Xenopus tropicalis: one gene and its partners. The protein of the gene in region 2 binds, or shares a complex with, the protein of the main gene of each other region. Links are inferred from orthologs where the notes say so. Each region holds a gene or a part of one and is shown on either strand. Other genes may lie near its edges. The genes, in order: pigp, pigc and pigy.

The links.
Region 1: pigc (region 2) and pigp share a complex: the UniProt entries of both Homo sapiens proteins name them as parts of the glycosylphosphatidylinositol-N-acetylglucosaminyltransferase (GPI-GnT) complex. The link is inferred for Xenopus tropicalis from reciprocal best matches to the Homo sapiens genes PIGC and PIGP.
Region 3: pigc (region 2) and pigy share a complex: the UniProt entries of both Homo sapiens proteins name them as parts of the glycosylphosphatidylinositol-N-acetylglucosaminyltransferase (GPI-GnT) complex. The link is inferred for Xenopus tropicalis from reciprocal best matches to the Homo sapiens genes PIGC and PIGY.

The regions. Positions count from the first base shown.
Region 1 is NC_030678.2:12,649,103-12,655,226, reverse strand, and holds the end of pigp (phosphatidylinositol N-acetylglucosaminyltransferase subunit P), read right to left. Parts: coding exon 6,109-6,124; intron 5,407-6,108; coding exon 5,288-5,406; intron 3,309-5,287; coding exon 3,196-3,308; 3' UTR 2,247-3,195; downstream 1-2,246. UniProt on the Homo sapiens protein: Part of the glycosylphosphatidylinositol-N-acetylglucosaminyltransferase (GPI-GnT) complex that catalyzes the transfer of N-acetylglucosamine from UDP-N-acetylglucosamine to phosphatidylinositol and participates in the first step of GPI biosynthesis.
Region 2 is NC_030680.2:107,288,930-107,296,562, forward strand, and holds the start of pigc (phosphatidylinositol N-acetylglucosaminyltransferase subunit C), read left to right. Parts: upstream 1-2,947; 5' UTR 2,948-2,973; intron 2,974-7,633. Other genes in the region: suco (SUN domain-containing ossification factor), read right to left, coding at 2,371-2,420. UniProt on the Homo sapiens protein: Part of the glycosylphosphatidylinositol-N-acetylglucosaminyltransferase (GPI-GnT) complex that catalyzes the transfer of N-acetylglucosamine from UDP-N-acetylglucosamine to phosphatidylinositol and participates in the first step of GPI biosynthesis.
Region 3 is NC_030677.2:67,793,250-67,800,714, forward strand, and holds pigy (phosphatidylinositol N-acetylglucosaminyltransferase subunit Y precursor), read right to left. Parts: upstream 3,868-7,465; 5' UTR 3,670-3,867; intron 2,688-3,669; exon of another isoform or gene 2,645-2,687; coding exon of another isoform or gene 2,427-2,644; intron 1,129-2,426; coding exon of another isoform or gene 978-1,128; 5' UTR 942-977; coding exon 726-941; 3' UTR 437-725; downstream 1-436. UniProt on the Homo sapiens protein: Part of the glycosylphosphatidylinositol-N-acetylglucosaminyltransferase (GPI-GnT) complex that catalyzes the transfer of N-acetylglucosamine from UDP-N-acetylglucosamine to phosphatidylinositol and participates in the first step of GPI biosynthesis.

The DNA of each region.
Region 1 (6,124 bases), on a different chromosome or scaffold from region 2:
TCTCAGGAGGAGGAGCGTTGGTATCACCCCCAGTGTTTGATGGGAGGGGGGGTGCCCTTATTTATATATACAGCCCATAATAGTGAGGAGAGATGGATGTGCGCCAGTCGGCGGGCAGCAGGGGAAATTCAGCCATGGGGCAGCAGCTTTACGGATGAATAGAAGTAATGAAAGGAAGGCTGATAAGAAACAAATCAGACAACTTGGTGTCCATGAATGCTGGGCTGTAAAGCTGGCCATACACGCACCGATACTATCGTACGAAACCTCGTTTCATACGATATTCGGTGCGTGTACGGCAAGTCAGTGAGTCGACCGATATTGCAGGAAGCTGCTGATATCGGACGACTCGCCGATCGGCCAGGTTAGAAAATTTTGATCGGGCGCCATAGGCGCCTGACCAAAATCTGCCGTCAGGGCTGAATCGGCAGAAGGAGGTAGAAATCCTATTGTTTCTACCTCCTTATCTGCTGTTTCAGCCCTGACTGTGTGTGGCGGATCTGACGATGTTTCGTGCGACCGATGGTCGCACGAAACATCGTCAGATCGCCACGTGTATGGCCAGCTTTAGACCAAGATCAGTCCATGCAGGGTTACAGAATGAAAATGCCCATTACTGCCCCCTATTGATAGTATGGGCTTCTCTTGCTTCTGTAGACACACAGGTCAAGGCACCTAACTGGGTATATAGAGCAGGCAACTTGCTGACACCCTCTGGTTTAATCCAGTTTGGGTTCTAACCACTGTCCAACTGGGCTGACTGGGCCCATCCCCATTTTAAAGCATCCAGCCAACTCCCCGGCGATTTGGGTTCCTTTTGCGGTAACCGAAAACCAATCCCTTTCACCTCCAAACTCGGGTCTATGTATAATATATTAAAAAAATATATATATATGTTTGTGTGCGTGTGTGAACTTCCCCTTTAAAAAAACAAATCACCCACACAGACTGTTTAGAATGCAGCAGAAGAATGATCTCTCCTTCAGAGACTTCAAAATCAAAGTGGCCGTTCTCATAGGGAGTTTTTATTGGTCCAGTCTGTCTAAAAAGGGGAAACCCTAATGGCTGATTCATCACTGATAGGATCTGACTGTGACTTACAGATCTTTCATCTAAAGAGCAGCCAAGGGTCTTTGTGTGTTTTTCCCAGAGGTTTCACCCTTGCAAACTAGGAAGGTAATGGTCACATATTAAACAGGTAAAATATATATCATTATATGTGTAGGGCACTCCATTGCCCCAGTGCAGCAAGGCAGACACTTACAGTTTATTCAATGGGCCACTCAGAGGGCTTGATGGAGGAAAGTGTATTTATATCATCACAAGTCCTGCATTTTCCTTTGCAAGGAGTCTCCTAATTGCATTACTATATAGCCAAGCTTATTATATTGTCAGATTAAGGTTTATAAAGATGTGCAGCCCCTGCCAATTCTACAGTGTGGCAGTTGGGGGCAGGAAGGCCTGCAGGCTCATTAAGGGACATGACAGAGGTAACTGGGGACACATTTGTATGCAACTATCTTTGAAGAAATAATTATCAGCATGGCTATATGCAGAGCTGGGCCAAATGCAATGGGCAAGCCCCCAGCCGTCATCTGCTAGCCAACCCCACCTCTCTGCTCACTGATTCTGATGCGCAGAGCCATAGAGGTATGGTGGCCATACACGGGACGATTCGCTTGTTTGGTGAGGTCGCCAAGCGAGCGGATCTTCTCCCGATATGTGGGAGATATTAGGCTAATTTGATCTTACGGCCCTAGGGCCAGATTCCATCGGATAAGGGAACGCATCAATGAGCCGATGTGGGGGGCCGGCTGGGGGTTCTTCTGGTATTCTGGCAGGCCCATGGACACTGCCAGAACTAGGGGGAGGCAGAAAAGGCACGTGCCTAGGGTGCAACAGTAAGGGGCACTAGGTAGGTACCTCTTCTGCCTACACCTAGTCTGAGCTCTCTTGCCCCACCTGCACTTGTCACTGCATGTCCCACCCACTTATCAAAGCACATATGCGTGCACTGAGGGGATTGGGGCCCCCTAGGGTGCCCGCACCATTTGGCCTACCTCTGAGGGTGAGAATCTTTAGGACCCTGAAATTCCATTTTTTAATCTCTGAAAGGTAAGCATGGTTGGTGGCATTGGAAAGGCTGCTTCAGGGTGCAGAATCGTACCTGGCCAGGCCAGTCCCACCCAGTTATTAAACCCCTTTAGAATATCATGTACATATAAATCATAAACATTCTCGTTTGCTATGTAGCACAGTGTTGCTTTAATGGATTTTGAATAAAACCAAGTGTGTTGAAATACAAATAGCAGGCCTCATGTTTGTATATACAGTGCAAATGACAATACTATAACGAAAGGGATAAAAGGCACGGCAGCTTCTCTGATCATACAGGAAAAACTTAAAGGGAAAGTCCACCTTTATATTAGCATTCAGTATGGATCCATTCTGAGCAAATTTGTAACTAGTCTCTATTAGTTATTTGGTATAGCTTGTCACAGAGAAACCTATCTAGTTTGCCATCTCTGACCCCACCAACCAGAAAAAGAAATCAATTTGGAGGGTTCAATTGTATTTGGGGTGGCCACCTGGCCAGTAAAAAAAATGCTCAAAGTTTTAATAGGAAAAAAACATAAAAAATCTAGGAAAGCCAGCATTTGTTTTTCCAGAAAAGGCAACAACCCTAATTTTACTGCTCTTATTTTTAGATGTTTATCTTTCTTTTCTAGCTCTCTCCTATTGATCTTCCATCATACTGATTTTTAAACTGCTAATTGGTTGCTAAGATCATTGAGCACTAGCAACCAGATAGCAGCTGAAATTCCAAGCCTCAGTGTTGCAGAGCAAAAAATGGTTTGTATGGGTTTTCAAAATGACAAATATTAAATAATCACTAATTGCAAACTGTCTTAGAATTCCAATAAAAGTGAATTTCAAGGTAAACTGCTTTTTTTTTTATATAGCAAGTGAAGTGGCAGCACAGTATAAATGTGACTGGGAGCATAGACCTCTGCAGAATCTGCTGTTCCCACATCTCCAAGTCTGCGCATTTGCACCTCTAAATAAAACACTTGCACCCATTGGTTTATGGGGCCCAAGTAAAAAAATAAATAAATAAAACACAGTCCAGAAATATATAGCTACATGAATTATCATAAAGAATGGGGTTTTGTGGGTCCGAAGGATCTTCCGGCATCATCTCTCAGTGAGGAAGAACATTTTATTAACCTCGCTGATGGAAATGTCCCTCAGTGCTGGGATGGCATCCTCTTGGCACGCCTTCTCTTGCTGATTTTTGGCATAAGAGTCTGGAAATTGTGGTAAAAATTTACAAATTACAACACTCAGTGGCACTGAAAGAACAGGTACCGCTGATCATCTATTAGCTCTGAGCGGCACTGGGAGTTCTTGAGGTTGCCCATAACTGCAATAAACTGCACTAGGATATTGGCCAATCTAGTGGCTGCTTTCAGTCTGTATACCCAGCATGCATTGCAATCCTTGGGCTGACAATGTAGCACCAAGGGAGGTTATTTACAGAATATATATATATATATATATATACAGTGGTGTGAAAAACTATTTGCCCCCTTCCTGATTTCTTATTCTTTTGCATGTTTGTCACACAAAATGTTTCTGCTCATCAAAAACCGTTAACTATTAGTCAAAGATAACATAATTGAACACAAAATGCAGTTTTTAAATGAAGGTTCACGTTATTAAGGGAGAAAAAAAACTCCAAATCTACATGGCCCTGTGTGAAAAAGTGATTGCCCCCCTTGTTAAAAAATAACTTAACTGTGGTTTATCAATTTCAATTTTCAATTTCAATATCAATTTCTGTAGTCACCCCCAGGCCTGATTACTGCCACACCTGTTTCAATCAAGAAATCACTTAAATAGGAGCTACCTGACACAGAGAAGTAGACCAAAAGCACCTCAAAAGCTAGACATCATGCCAAGATCCAAAGAAATTCAGGAACAAATGAGAACAAAAGTAATTGAGATCTGTCAGTCTGGTAAAGGTTATAAAACCATTTCTAAAGCTTTGGGACTCCAGCGAACCACAGTGAGAGCCATTATCCACAAATGGCAAAAACATGGAACAGTGGTGAACCTTCCCAGGAGTGGCCGGCCGACCAAAATTACCCCAAGAGCGCAGAGACAACTCATCCGAGAGGCCACAAAAGACCCCAGGACAACATCTAAAGAACTGCAGGCCTCACTTGCCTCAATTAAGGTCAGTGTTCACGACTCCACCATAAGAAAGAGACTGGGCAAAAACGGCCTGCATGGCAGATTTCCAAGGCGCAAACCACTTTTAAGCAAAAAGAACATTATGGCTCGTCTCAATTTGCTAAAAAACATCTCAATGATTGCCAAGACTTTTGGGAAAATACCTTGTGGACCGACGAGACAAAAGTTGAACTTTTTGGAAGGTGCGTGTCCCGTTACATCTGGCGTAAAAGTAACACAGCATTTCAGAAAAAGAACATCATACCAACAGTAAAATATGGTGGTGGTAGTGTGATGGTCTGGGGTTGTTTTGCTGCTTCAGGACCTGGAAGGCGTGCTGTGATAGATGGAACCATGAATTCTACTGTCTACCAAAAAATCCTGAAGGAGAATGTCTGGCCATCTGTTCGTCAACTCAAGCTGAAGCGATCTTGGGTGCTGCAGCAGGACAATGACCCAAAACACACCAGCAAATCCACCTCTGAATGGCTGAAGAAAAACAAAATGAAGACTTTGGAGTGGCCTAGTCAAAGTCCTGACCTGAATCCTATTGAGATGTTGTGGCATGACCTTAAAAAGGCGGTTCATGCTAGAAAACCCTCAAATAAAGCTGAATTACAACAATTCTGCAAAGATGAGTGGGCCAAAATTCCTCCAGAGCGCTGTAAAATACTTGTTGCAAGTTATCGCAAACGCTTGATTGCAGTTATTGCTGCTAAGGGTGGCCCAACCAGTTATTAGGTTCAGGGGGCAATTACTTTTTCACACAGGGCCATGTAGGTTTGGATTTTTTTTCTCCCTAAATAATAAAAACCCTCATTTAAAAACTGCATTTTGTGTTTACTTGTGTTATCTTTGACTAATAGTTAAATGTGTTTGATGATCAGAAACATTTTGTGTGACAAACATGCAAAAGAATAAGAAATCAGGAAGGGGGCAAATAGTTTTTCACACCACTGTATATATATATATATATATATATATATATATATATACACACACACACACATATACACTAGATTCTATATACTGTAGCCAGAGTCCCACTTACCTGTTACAGTGTGTATGGAGTCTAGGGGAGCAGTGCTCATCATGTTTATACCAAACAGAAAGATATAGGCGATGCCGAACACAACGAGGAGGTAGACGGGCACTGCCACAGCCCAATATCTATAAACACAATTTGTAAAAGAAACTGAAATGCCAGACAACAAAGGCATTACTATCAGTCTGCAATTACTATACTGTAGGTAGGACTTTGTGGCTGCACACAATATGTATCCTGTTATCCTACTGACATACTGTGCCACATTTACTAACAAATATGCTCTAATTTGTGCAGAGTAACTGATCACAGATGTGCATTCATTCTTCTGTCTGCAGGAGTCTGATTAAAGCTAATTGTTTTACTGAAGGCTTTGGGTGCAATGGGGCTAATATACCTGACAGGGTTGGACTGGGCCGCCGGGACACCAGGAGCAGCCCAGACCCGACCCTTGCCAGCGCTCCCCTGGCCTACGGTGTTCCTCCCCTGATGCGTTAAACTTAGGCGCGTTTAGGGGAGGACGTTGGGCAGAGCCACTGTGGGTGGTTAGGGGGTGTAGTGGGGGCCCCTAGGGGATGCAGGGGATGCGGCTGGCAGGGCACCTCCAGTGCCCCTGGGTCGGCAGCCCCGGTGGGCCCTGCACCCCCCAGTCCGACCCTGATGCCCGATGTTAGTAAATGATCCCCTTCTGTGTATCTGGGGCTACAAAGACTTTTCAGACTGACACTATACCATGTAAACCTGCAGCCATCCTGCTTTGCCCAGAGAGAAAGGGAACACAGTGCATACAGTACAGCTATGTGTATAGTGCTTACATCAGTACTTACTTTTGGGGCCAGTACG
Region 2 (7,633 bases):
CCGCCGCGTGTGCCATCCCGCCGGCGACTTACATGTTTGCCGGCGGGATGGCGGGTCATGGCAACTCGGGGAGATTAGTCGCCCGCGAACAGGGAGTTTTGTCGCGGGCGACTAATCTCCCCCGTGTGCCAGAGCCCTTAGCATGACAACAACCCATAGCATACATCTAAATCAACAAAGCAATGGCTTCAAAGGACGATCAATGTTCTGGAATGACCAACAAGCCAGAGTCCAGACCTTAATCTGATTAAACGTCTGCAGCATGAAGATACCCTCTTAATTTGACAGATCTGGAAAACTTTTGCAAGAAGGTGTGGGTAAAAACTGCAAAGTCCAGATGTGCCAAACTGACGCTCTTACCTAAAAAGACTGAGTGCTGTAATAAAATCAAAAAGGTGCTTTAATTGCACTAATGCAACCATGGTTTTAAAGGATTTCTTTTTTTTCCAATAAACAGATTCTGATTTGTTTGTATAGATAATTTTGCAATAAAGGTGAAATACATTCTGCCATTTTGCAGGCTGTAGACTTTTTATTTTCAGTGTACAATTAAAATCAAAACAATATTTTATAACCGATAATCCCAAACAATATATTTGTACTATGGATATCAAGTTTGTTGATCAGGCTGGTTTGGAAATGTAATCAGCCAATCCCATCATGTCAGTCAGTGTATGGTACAGCAGCAGATGAGGAAAAGAAGGTCCTCCTTCTGACCCAAACAAGCAGAACAATAGAAAGATGGCCCCTCATATGGTATACATCCGTTTGCCCCCACAGGTTAGCTGGTCAAATACCATACATTGTCAAGCTTAACTCTTTATTTAACTTTATTATGCTCAGCCCTTACATTACTATGGCAAAACAGTTGTTGATAATCCCTGACAGCAGCTGTCCCAAATACTATGGGGTCAAAAGAGACAACCAACAAAAACCTGTTTTTGTAAAAAAAAAAAAGTAATTCTAAACATTTTTCAATTATTCACTATTGACTATTGGTAAATGTAACTGAAAAAAAGTATTTGATTATCATTTTCTGTTCTTTGCACTTTCTTCTGATTTTGACTTTTGAAACAATGTAACAGAAATCACTTCTAATCCAGGTCTTTTAAACAGCTGCCTTTGATACATAGTTTCAGGAGTCACAGTTCGAAGTAGTGGATATATGGAGCCATGCACATCCTGCTTTGAATTGCAATTACATTTGCAAATAAACCTAAAAACACTGAAAAGTTTCAATTAATGTATATTAGAAAGTTTTTTTCCCATTAGTCAATATATGAATTTGCCAACCCCGGCATCCCTTAAAATGATACCAACTGCTGCATTCATAATCACATTCCCTGAAACTAAATACAACAGAATGCTGTCAATCTGACTCAGCAGCAGTTCCAACTTCTATCTATGACAGTGTAGGCATTCCCTAGTGAATAAAAATCTAAATCAAAATAATTATATTAAATGCAAATAAGACTTTAATATAAAAGATACAGGATATTCCAGGTCTGGGAAAACCAATGAGACCCAATTCTGGTTCCCCCAGCATAACTATAAACAGAAGTCTTTCATAATCATAGGCAGTCAGAAATATAATGAGCAAATGTAAAGATATTCAAAATAATTTTTTTATCACAGCCCATAGGAAGATACATTACAACAAATGAACATGGGGCAATAACAAGCAGCTTGTGACCCACAATTTGCAGATCTTCCAATTATAACACACAGCTGTCATTTAGGGAAAGTCCTACAGAAACTATTTCTGATGGTATCTCTCAGCTAAACATGTTGCTGGACTATGCTTTCAAGCTCTGCCAAAATAAAAGCCAAGAGGTATTCTCTGTGTACTAACGAAAGGAAAAGTTTTCTTAGCTAGCCAGTTATTATTTAAGGGGCAAAACGGTTTTGGCATAATGAAAGAAAGTAGAACTCTAAGCAATCTTTGACATGCATGCTGCTACATTGTTTCAGGAGTCACAGCCAGCAGTGCAGAGAATATAAGCAGCAGGGCAGCTACAACTTTCAGCCAGCAATTACATTTAGAAATAGCTTAAAAATCACTGAGTGTTTTAAATCAATGTATACTGTAAAGCTGCTGGGAATTACAATTTCATTATACATTTTAGGAGAAGATTCCATTTAATTCATCCATATGAACATGAAGAAAAAGTGAAATTATTGTTGGTGTAATGGCATAGTGTTACATTTATACTAAGACCAGGACTCCTAGGACACTGCTTTTCACACAATGATGGGAGACCCCCCCCCCCCTTCATTCAGGGTACATGACAGCGAGACTACCTGTCAGCGAGTAACAGCAATGTGGGCATTTACGCTCCAACAGACAGGCGCAGGGCCCTAAGCACTCACCATGAGCCAACCAGAAAGAGGCAGAATATAATAAACACCCGTTTCGTCATCTTTCCCGGACGTATTTTCTCATCCTCGCTGGCATTTCCCGTGTACTTTAATGAGCACTAGTCGTACAAGCCACCATTGAAAATGTCCCCGTTGGTGTATGGCGCCGGGGAGAGCCGTGCCACTGTTTCCCCTACTTCCCCTTCGTAAAAGCACTGCCCACACCACGCTACAATCCTCCAACGCGGCCGATCCCCTGCGAATGCCTCCAACTGCACAGCCAGCTTAGGCGGAAGGAGACGCGTCACTCCGGCCGAGGTTAGCGAATCAGACGTAGCCTTTACAACCCTCCCCCTTCAAATGCATTGGTTTGGTCCAGAAAGGATGCCTCAGCTCTTTTGAACAACAAGGCCTCTGTAATGGACTGGGGGCGGAGACTCGTGTTAAGCGAATTGGAATCAAGGCGCCCCTGGCAACTATTGTGGCCTTTCCTGTTTCTAGTGAAAGGGTTCTGACAGCCAATAGCATTTCAAGATACGACCGCTCTTGATTGGCTGCTCAGCCAAAGGTTGCAAGGGGCTGGAGAAACGCGGAAGCCTGGCTTTAGGAAATCAGGTACCCACTTACTGGCAGCTTTCTTTTGAGTTGGTAGCTACCCACAGGGTCTCTCCATTGTTTTTCCCTACATTGTAACCTGCCTACTGTCACTGCGGTTTGCTATACATTTCATTTTGTTTGTTGCGACAATATTAGCCTTGACATATGGGGTGGGGGGAATATGGCTAGTGCTTCTCTGCGTAGGTGTCCGCACAGAACGGCAGAAAGTAGGTTCCATAAGTCAAAGGCTTGCTACTGTAGTGTGCGGAAAAAAGTACAAAATTGTAGTTTGCAACAGCCCTGCACTTTGTAAGTGAGCTCTTGAATATGTAACTGCTGCCTCCTTTATATACTGTCTCTTAAGTTGCCAGTTGGTAGTCTTGCTCCTTCTCTCTCTCTCTCATCTATATATATATATATATATATATATATATATATATTACAGTCCACAAAATTTTCAGCACACCAAACCCCTAATATAAATCACCTGGGTGCTACCTCCATGTGTCTAATTATCCAAAAATTGGGTGCACACCAGGATATTTTTTAAAGATTAAAACGTTACTTTTATTTAAACATGCTGTTAAAACAGGCCAACGTTTCGGTCTCCTCCTAAGACCATTATCATTATCAAGGGTCTTGGAGCCGGGTTGGAGCTGCAGAGTGCCATTGAGCCCTATGGGAGACTTTCCTTGGGCCAGGTTGGAGCTGCAGAGTGCCATTGAGCCCTATGGGAGACTTTCCTTGGGCCAGGTTGGAGCTGCAGAGTGCCATTGAGCCCTATGGGAGACTTCCCTTGGGCCGGGTTGGAGCTGCAGAGTGCCATTGAGTCCTATGGGAGGCTTCCAAAATCATGCTAAGTCTGAAAGTTTTGCCCGCAGTTTACGAGCGCTCAATACGAAAAAGTCGCGACAAGATACGAGCAAATCGTAACGGCTACGAAAAAGTCGCGACAATTCGTGCAAGTCGTAATGGTTACGAAAAAGTCGCGATAATTTACGAAAAGTCGTAACGGCGACGAAAAAATCGCAAAATGTTCGTTTTCCAATCTGAATTTTTCCCCTTCGGATTCATGGGTTAGTAAATCAGCCCCTATGTTTGAGGCAAGGCTAAAATTTAGCAGTTGCCTTTCATTAGATGGAATTATCCAAGTTACTGTGTAATAGGCAGGTTAATACATTCCTTAGGTCTGTTGTTTTAATGAAGAAACCGTTAAGAAAAAAATAAGAAAAGGAAACCAGTTTCATTTTAGCACTTCCTGTTCCACTAAGAAGCTCCTGTTCAAACCCTGCACCTTAGGGAAGGGAGGGGATTGTATATTTGTTTGAAGGTAAATAAGGATCTCTGAACAAATTGCCCTGTCTATAAAGGAGGGGCTTTTCAAACAGTGCTTTATAATGGAAAAAAATTAGGAGTATATGGCAAAATACATTTTAAAGCAAAACTATACCTCCAGAATGAATACTTAACCAACAGATAGTTTATATTATGTTAATAATATGGGCAGAACTCTGCCCAATAATTGGCTGATGTGGCCTAGCATGTATGTGTGCCTTGGCTTGTTTGTGTGCACCGTTAATACTATGATCCAAGGAGGCGGCCATTACTTCTTAAAATGGTAATTTTCTATTTAGCAGTACCCAATAGCACATATTGCTAAAAAAAAGTATATTTTTATGAAAATGGTTTATTTAGATGAAGCAGGGTTTTACATATGAGTTGTTTTATGCAATATATTTTTATAGAGACCTACATTGTTTGTGGGTATAGTTTTCCTTTAAGCATAAGTTGTTTTTTTTTTTTGTTTTTTTTATTGTGCTCATTTTTTGCCAATGTGTTTTAGACATATATTTTCCTTTTTAAATCTGTGTTTGTCCCTTGAATCTTTTACACTTGAAAAAGACCCTCTGTTTGGTCAGAACAACCCATGTTACTTAATGGATTTGCAGTGTAGTTCCGGCAATGTATATGCATGCTTCCTCCGCAGAAGAATTGTACTGTATATGTCAATGTCAAATGTGTGAACCAACACCTGGTTTCTTCCTACAAAAATTTGATAAGCTGCAGTCCAGAGCAAGATAGTTATTTATTCCCATTAACAAAGGTGCCCGGAATAGTGCCCAGACTAATTATACCACATGGCAAACCTAAAGAAGTCACTTACAATAAATTGTTTACTTTTGAGCTTCATCTGACTGATTTTTTTTTTTTTTTTTTACATTATAAAGAGTCTGAAGTTTTCATAAAGATTAAATTGTATTCTACTTTTCCATTTCGTTATAAAATAAATGTGCCTACTAACATTTAGCAAAATGTCTCTTGATTACTGTTTAGCCTGCTTTGTTTATTAAGTACATAGAACATAACTACCTTTGAAAAAAGCTCAGTGCAACGTGGCAGTGCTGTTATCAGGTGGAGGATTAAAAACACAGGTCATTTTGATCTGCAAATAGAATATTTCCAGGTCAGTAAATCTCTGCCACTACCCCCTGCCTGTCTCACACCAGAGTAAACACAATTCAGAAGAGAAACATATTCCATGAAGCTGTTAAAGCATATGCATTTTGCTCATGGTATTATAAAGGTAGCGTAGGACATTGCTTCTTTTATTTTTACCATATCTTTTGTGTGATCAGAAGAAAGAAATTCCACATTTTCTGTGTTGATTTTCTCTAATATTAGGAGTTAGTTTGACTTTTGTCATTGTGAGATAATGGGATTTCAAATTGGGTAATTTAAATTGCTGACTGTTGCTTTGGGTGACCACACTTGTGCAGATTTGCCCATTGTTATTCAGTGAGCCGGAATTGCACATAGCGCATATTCCACTTCACATAAAAATGTTACATCTTATTATACCAAGTTCTTCTACATGTTAATTCATGAAACTAGCTTTTGTACAAGAAATAGAACAGAGGCTTATAATCTGTTTGCTTGCAGCAGAATTATTTTAGGGCACCCTAAACCTCTTGAGCCCCACAGCTTACAAATGCTGTAGTCAAAAGCACTTCCTATTGGCCCACACTTTGTTGCCTTTATTATTGTCTGAAGCACAATTGCAGTTGCAGCAAAATGTGGCATCACTGCAGTGTGAAGGCTTCTATAAGTACACTCCAGTTTTAAGATGGCCATACATGATCAAATTTTAGTCTTCTTCCAGTGAACATTCGGATATGCATTGTATGTTTAAATGCAACGATCTAAAACTAAAATTCAGACTAAAATTGTAGGATAAAGCCATTGGACAATGTTTTGTATGTGGGAAAGTTGGCTAATCGTATGAAAGTAACTTTCTGGGAATGCATTTTAGGTCCCCCAAGGACACAGATGCACAGATTTTATCTTCATCCAACTTAAATTTTCTAACCTGTCCGATCGACTAAATTACTGATTGCTATGGTATGAAAATTATCAGGACACTAATTCGTAGCCCACACACGGTTTGAAAACCATACGAAAATGCAATGTATGGCTAGCTTAAGATGGGAGCATGTCAGCCTTTGTTTATTTGGAGTGAAAATAATGTACATTTGGCCAATGTAGTAAACAGGATCTATGTAGCTATCAGGTAGTTTATCCATAGATGAATATTGAATCAAGTTCATGACTAAAGTATCCATCTGACTGAGTTGGAGCAGTTATTTGTACCACTAGACTTTGATCGGTGCATTGGTAGATCTGAGAATATGTTCAGTTACTTAACCAAAGCCACGTAGTTAGCTTGTCAGCCTGATGATAAGAAGGATGACAAATGCTTGCCTAAGTTTAATCTCAGATACTAAGATAAACAGAGTGAACTGAAAACAAAGTACATTAATGTGGGAAAATGTTTAACTGTGAGGTAATGGTGATGCCTTAAATGACTGCCAAAAAACGTTTATTCTTTACAGATAATTAGCCACTCACCATTCCAACTGCATTATCCATTTTTGATGTCATACAAGTGTTGGGAAAAAATGCTTGCATATTCATGTGTGTGCTTATACCTTTTGATAAAGCATCCCATTCAAAAACTTTTGTAGAATACTAAGTCGCTTATACAATTCAGTTTGATAATAAAATCATCAAAACTGCATAATAATGGGATAAAAAGCTTGTTATATTCAGCTGTTCAGGACATATAAGTCCCATGACATTAGGGCTTTGGCGTTGGTTTGGCTATAAGAACCACACTGTGGATTAGGATAGTTTTGAATCTAGCAAACAGTGCTGTGATTTTAGCTGAACTGTGCACTGGATTTGGTGCAAATATATCTTTGTGTGTTTAGCCACTGGAATTTCTCTAAACTTTTCTGTTTCCATTAAAGTTTATAATAAATGCACCCAGTATGCTCATGAACTTTTCTTTACTTAAATTGGCCATGATTTTTGATATAACAAGGGCAGCCTACAGATACCCATGTACTATGTATGTTAGTTGGCTCAGAGATCGGGCCTGTTTATAACTCTTTTCTACTATGTCCATTATCTGCTGTTGTGTAACACATTGGCAGATAAGAAACTGTATAGAAGCCACAGCTCTGCTTCTCTACTTTTTTCAATGTTCTGACTGTTGGTACAATAGAAAGGTGGCCATAGCATGTACAGCCTCTTCATAAGCTATCCATCTGTTCATTCTGTGCACTAGTCCATTATCTAGCAGTTATCCAACCTCATCTTGCAGTAAGTATACATGTGT
Region 3 (7,465 bases), on a different chromosome or scaffold from region 2:
CACATGTAAAGTAGATAACCACTACTTGATGAAACCTCATGTTCTCCCAGAAGGGCCTGCATGGATGTATATACTGAATGTATAAACTAAGGCATAAAAGGGGTGGTTCACCTTTAGGTTAACTTTTAGTATGTTATAGAACTGGCATTCATTTCTTTATAGTTTCTGAATTATTTGCTTTTCTCCTCAGTCTCTTTTCAGCTTTCAAATGGAAGTCACTGACCCCAGCAGCCAGCACTTCATTACTGTCAATAATAATATAGAAAAGGGACTTGGAATGACGATTTTAAATGACTTTAAAGAAAGCAAGCAGGGTAGGACTGGGCCCCAGATCTCCCTTCCCCAACGTGCTAAAAGTAATTTTAATTTACACGTGCGGCAGCCCCGGTGAGCCCTGCACCCCACACTCCGACAATTATTGCATCAGTAACTAGGATGCATTTTTTGCTTTCAATTTTATTGTTAAGCACATAAGCTGCCAGAGAGCAGCTCCTATTAACTTACAAATGGGGCAGCACCCAGGTAAGTGTACCTTTAGGAATAGAGTCTTTAAAGGAGCTCAAATAGAAAGGAAAGTACAAAAATCAAAACAATTACATTCATTTTATTTCTATTAAATGTTAATATTTCTATGCAAAGCTGTAACCGACCAATCTGAAAACATGTTCTCCATATCTTATCTGAAAGCAGAAGGATGAATGAGATATTTTCTGTTCATTTATGCATTAATTGTGCCTAAAGAGCTTGAGTCCCATCCAAGTCCACAAATGAAAAAACACATAGACAGGCAAAGTGATGGGAAGCAGAAGGCTGTAAAAACACAAGCTTGCTGTACTGGTGCATCCATTTGGGAAATCCTCTTCCACTGAGGCAGAGTATAATAACCCTGTCAAAGACACCAGAGGAATGAGCACAGTCAGCACAGGGAGGGAGAAAAACATGGCTTCTTTATTGTTTGCAGGAACAAATCCAAAAAACTATGTTGTCTGCTCTGTGTCTGGGCTCTCAGGCTTCTGATCTTTATGAATCATGCGGGCATCCTGTGGTATCATATTTGGGATGCCATCAACAATTGGGTAAGCTATACCCAGCTCGTCATTAATTAACTCATTGGTAGATTCTTCATATCTAGGGAAAAAAAATGACATATAAACAATCAGATCTGGATCAATGAATGGGGAATCACAGCCGTTTATATTTAATGTCGGGAAATTTGATCACCAAAATCAGTACATTTCAAACCACAAGCGTCATTCCATAATCAATATTATATATATATATATATATATATATCGAGCCAAGGGTGGCACACCGCTTCAATCCTTGTCCCGGGTGCACGGTAAAAGAGTTTAAATATTGAAAAAAAGACCAGCAACACCGGATCTATTGCAAACAATCGATTATATATTGAAAAATACATGAACAGCCAACGTTACGTTTCGGTCCCCGTCGGGACCTTTCTCAAGACCGAAACGTAACGTTGGCTGTTCATGTATTTTTCAATATATAATTGATTGTTTGCAATAGATCCGGTGTTGCTGGTCTTTTTTTCAATATATATATATATATATATATATATATATATATATATATATATATAATATATATAAAATGCATTTAGGAGTTCTAGTTAAGCTTGAAATAGCAAAGAGACATCTGCTTGCTGTTAATAAACTGAATATTTCCCTATACAGAGTACAGGCTTAGGTGTATGGGACACCCTGTTCCCCTGCTGACCTGACTGACTACTTTGAGACTCAAATAAAATGCAGTAGACTGTCCTCAGCCTGCCTTCTCCAGTTACCACAATTCCCCGCACATATAATAAGGAATAGGGAAAATAACATCACTGGGCAATGCATTGTGGGTAATGTAGTTTCTGAGTGCTGTCTGTAAGATGTGGAGAAGTTGTTACAATTTGTAACATCAGTGTTTTAGTCCCTCTTCTTTAATCCTCTTCCCAGGATTTTAAATAATGCAGAAAGAAGGTTAGAAGGTTTAGCAGAAAGAAACAGTTTACAGTGCTAGGTATATTAGGGGTTTCTGTGTTGGGCTCTTTAACAAATTTTGGTTCATAAACTGTAGTTCCCCTTTCAATAAAAATAAGCAGCGATATTTTCAATATAAGCCCTAACATTTGGCTAATGGTTAATATCAATATAGTCTTTCTAAAGGGTAATTAATTAGAAATTATAAATAGAACAATACGTGGCTATAACTTTAAGTCAGAGAAACCCAAGTCTGATGGGACACTTTGCTCAAACTAGGGGCAGCCCAGCACTGCAGGGGGCAGTATCCTTGTATTGTAGCCCGCACCTCTGGGGGGAAGCAATGCTTAGGATCATAGGTGATCTTAATGACCCCCCCACCCAGCAGCAGTATACTGACTGTATCAGAGCCCTTTAACCCAGTGCCAGGTATTTTACCTCAGCGATTTCCTTGAGAGAGGGCAGACCAGGAATTGCAAGAGGGTAGGATCAAACGTCTTGCTGTCCTTCAGGCTCTGTTCCGGGGATCTGGCAACTAAAGAGCAGTGCAAGGGCCGCAGTGTGACAGCTGGCAGGGCGCCAGTGGGACAGGCAGCGTTTAGTTTCCGCTGGACTAAGGTATTATATGTTCTTCCCCATGCCCTGACAGCCAGCATGTTCCACTTTCTGCACAGAAACTGACTGACACACAACCTTTACTTCCCAGGAACGATTCCACCCCTTCTTCCTGTGCAGCACTATAAACAGCCCCTCACACGACACAAAGCAGTCTCAGTGGTTCCTACCATGTGCATGTAACTATATAAACCCACAGCCTGCAAAACCCTCAAAATATATCTGAAAGAGTTGTGATTAAAGTCTTTCTGTAATGTTAAACTACCTTTACTTGATATTATTGCTTGAATCTGGTTTGCCCTTTGATTCCTGCGATCACAGATATGTAACCCATTCACTGCCAGGCGATTTTTCCTTCTGTATTTGTGTTAAACCAGGTACCAGCCCACATTGCCTGACAGGTGGTAGCAATTTAATTTCTAACAGTGCTCAAAATAAGTTATAGGTAAACAGGAATACAGTAACAGTATTCCTGTTAAAAGCAAAAAGCTTTGTTCACTGTGGAATCCTATGGAATTAAGATGTTGTACTGTGTTAGCCATTAAAAACAATGCAGAAAATCTGATACCTTTTATTGGCTGAGTAAGAAAAATTGCAAGCTGTCCAAGCAGGGTCGGACTGGGCCGCTGGGACACCGGGAAAAGTGGGCCCTGGCGGCCCAGACCCGACCCTTGCCGATGCTCCCCCTGCCCGAGTGCTCCTCCCCTGACGTGTTAAATTTACACGCTCGGGGGAGGATGTCAGGTGGGGGGCCCTGCACGGGCACCTACAAGGCCCCTGGGGCGGGAGCCCCAGTGGGCCCTTCACTCCGCAGTCTGACCCTGTGTTGAAGCACCCAGGCCCCTTCGTCAGGCAAAATACAAATGAAAGCTGGAAAGGCACAGCATATATATAGATCATTGAAAAGGTTCATGGGCAATAAATTGAGAACCCTATAGGACACAGAAACAGGGTCGGGCTGGGGGGTGCAGGGCTCACTGGGGCTTCTGCCTCAGGAACCCCAGCCCCCCCCAACCCCTGCAGAGGCCCCAAACACCCTCCGACCATGCTTCTAAAAGAAACTTACCTGCGGTATGTTGGGGGAGGGTGACGGTGGATCGCGGGAGAGCCCTGGGGGAGGGGATCTGGCCCGCCGGGGACCAACAGGTTTTTTTCCCAGTACCCCAGCAGCCCAGTCTGATACTGCACTGAACAGGTTGCGGGTAGTATAGAATGCTGCAGCACAAAGAATCACAGAGTAGGGAGTAGACAAGGTAGAAAGCTACAGCATGGATAAAACAGGGAGGAAGTCAGGGGGAGTATGGAGCTAGTCGGATGGGGTATGTGACAGGTAGGGAGCTGGGGGGGGGCTTCTGTGGTGGGGAGGGAGTTGAACACACACAGATATCTTAAAATGGACACTAGATAAAGATTGTTCTGTCTGCTGCAATTTCCTGTGCACAGGGACATTTTACATTGCTGTGGCTGGATCTTATCTTCCTTATTTTCCATACAAGTTCAGTTCTTCTTCTGACAAACTTTGGGGGCGATTATTCTGAGACCACACACGGTCCAAAAATTGTTTGAGACTAGGTTTTGTATGATTTTATTGATGTGTGTATGGCCAGTTTGTTCTAAGCCAGCAGTAATTAAAACAACATGGCAGCAGGCTAACCGGCTGCAAGGGGTATTTGATCATTAGGGGAGCTGGTTGTCATGAGTGTGCATAGAGAAGCTGGTGAATTACTGTTAGTGTTGCCACCTTTTCTACAAAAAATACCATTCCTTCTCTTGTTGGTAGCTATCTTGTCTATTAGTACTGTTGGAATCAAATTTCAGTTTTATTGGTCAGGCCTGTAAAATAACTGCTGGGAGGCAACTCTATTCATTATATGTCAGGTAGTGGATAGAAAGTAGGGACGCACCGAATCCAGGATTTGGCCAAGATTATGCTTTTTTCGGCTCCTGGCAGAACTGAATCCGAATCTTAAAAATCACGTGACTTTTTGTCACATAAACACGGAAGTTAGAAATTTAACCCTTCCGTATCCTAATTAGCATATGCTAAAAAAAAAGTGCATTCGGTGCATCCCTAATAGAAAGCCAGCGCGCCCTGGGTGGCTTGACTGTTTTCTGGGTTAGGTGGAGTTTAGGGACCTATTTGGTTAGGACAATCCGATGTGGTTGAATTAACAGAACACTAGGGAGCTGTTTTGGTCCTGCACTAATATTTTTCCTTCAACTCAAGCTATCCCAAGAAAGAATAGTAACGCAGTTATATGCACAGACTAAGGGGAGGATAGGGCCAGCAAGCTACTTGTCAGCAAATTGGGAGATAAGGTCAGAGTCTGTAGCCTGAACAGAATCTGATCTAAAAGGGCAGAAGTCTTTTGAGCACCTCATTGTTAAATGTCCCTCATTAGTAAAAGCCAGTAACTAGCAAGGGATTTTTCAGGAATGACTTTTCTATTTAATTAAGCTACCCCTTAAATAGGGAAACAGTTTCAGGCACAAACATATGGGAGGCTAGGGCTAGCAAGCTTTTGGGGCAGCAAAACGGGAGGTAGGGCTTAAGTCTGTAGCTTGAACCAAATTCCATTTAAAAGGAAATAAGCTTTAAAGTGCACCTATCATCCTCTCATTTTTCCCCTGTAACCTATTTTTGGCACACTTCTGCAGAAATTGGATTACACTCACTTCTGGGAACTGGGTTTTACAGTGCAGTGCCTCCACCTAGTGGTCACTGAGGAGCACACCTCAGGGGGATTCCACTAGAAAAATAAATCACACACAGTTTGCAGAAAAGATAAACTTTATATAGCAATTTAGAAAAATGTAATCACTGTAAAAGGCAAATAATATGACCCTGCTTTGGGAAATGCATGTTTCATTTAACATGCATTTTAACTAAACTTTTGGCACAGTCTCTCCTAGGACACAGTCCCACACTTCTTTCCTGGTGGAAATACCCTTTCCCAGTTCAGTCTCTGGCAAAGTCCCTTCCCCAAGAGTTCTTTAGTTTCCCCTGTAGTGCTACCTGCCCCAAAGTACCACTCCCTTTGGATAGGCAGTTGCTCCACATTGCAGGCACTCGATCAACACCTGCCCTCACACAGGGAACATACAAGGATAACAACAGAAACCCACTGGCAGTTTAACAAGATGCAGAATGCTCTCTCCATTTAGGCTGGAGCTCAAAAACCAGCTGAGCACTCTGTAACCTTTCTGGTTACTGGCAGTGCAATCACCTGTCTGCTGCTCTCTGTTCCTCTGGATCGGGTTCTCTATGGCTGGCACTGCAGCAGGGGCCCTTTAAAAACCTGCCAACCCCACCCTTGGTTTTGGCTCCAAAGCCAGGTACTCTCTGGATCCTCCTTTTCTTCCATAAGTGCACTGGGGCTCCCAGCCAATCGGGTTTTTCTCCAGTCTTCCCGCTAGCTCATTATGCACATGCGCTTGATGTAAGAGTCTTTTCATCGGCGTCGTGATTTTTTCGTATTGAGCAATAGTAAACGGCGGAAAAACCAATCCGTTTTTTTCGCGACGGCGACAAAAAAGTCGTATTGGCGACGAAAAAATTGCGGGACATACGAAAAAGTCGCGACGGTGATGAAAAAGTCACAAAAATACTGATCATTACGAAAACCCGCGTTCGGACGCTTTCGGTCCATTCATGGATTAGTAAATCTGCCCCTTAGTCTCTAAAAATCTCCACACACCCAGCAGTAGACACTAGTACAGGGGTGGGCAAACTACGGCCCGCGGGCCACATCCAGCCCGTTGGCCTTTTTAATCCGGCCCGCTGACTCCGGGTCCCTTTAAATAATTTCTGGGCCCTGATTGGTTGCGCTTCGTGCGTGCTCGTGCGCAGGGGGCGCAACCATAAAAAAGGATGCAGCGGGGAGCCGGGGAACAGACTCAGCGGAACGATGGAGAGAGCTGCAGGTCGGAGAGATGGAGGATGCTGGTGGGGGGGGGAGCTGGTGGGAGGACGTTGGCCCGGCCTGGCCCGCCTGTGAGTAAATGTGGCCCCCGAGCCAAAAACTTTGCCCACCCCTGCACTAGTATATATAAGATACATTTCAAAGGCTCCTGAGGTGAGCATTATAAGTGCAAGGACTGAGCAAAGGTCAGACTTTTAAAATATTTTTCCTTTGTTTTTGTTTTTTTTTGCATTCAGTTTACCATTTTTACTTTTATTTTGAATTAATAAAAGTGAAGTTTTAATATATTAGTGCATCATTCTTCCGAATACTTAATGTAGCAACATTATCCTTTTATGGTACAGGTATGGGACCTGTTATCCAGAATACTTGGGACCTGAGGTTTATGGGTACAGGATAAGTAAACCATTAAAATTAGTTGATGTAAAATTGATGAGACTCCTATTCTAAGCACTTTTGCAATTTAAATTATTTATTGTTTTTAATTCCAAGATTTTAAGTGTTTAAAGTACTATTAATATAAATGAATATTGTTACAACCGCATCAGCTACTGGTCACGTTTCACAAAGTCAAGGATGTTGTCAAGGAAGTTGTAAGGAGAAAGATGGCTGGGCTAATGTTCTTCTGGTTAGAAAAGACATGATAAAAGTTATTTGAGGCTTTTTATGTTTCTCCTAACCAGAAGAACATCAGGCCAGTCTTTCTCCTGCCAACTTACTCCGCAACGTCCCTGCCTACTTAATGTTAAATGAACAGTAGGTGGTGCTGCTGTAACAAAATGCATTTCCCGCACCTGCTTTTTCAGTTCAGATTTTTTTTATAAATGTTAGACATTTGTGAAAATGAGTTTGTTAGAATTTTACAAGCATTTAAGTACAACAAGACAAAGAAAAAGAGAAATAAAGAAGACGAGAGAGAAGAGCCTGGGGGAGAAGATG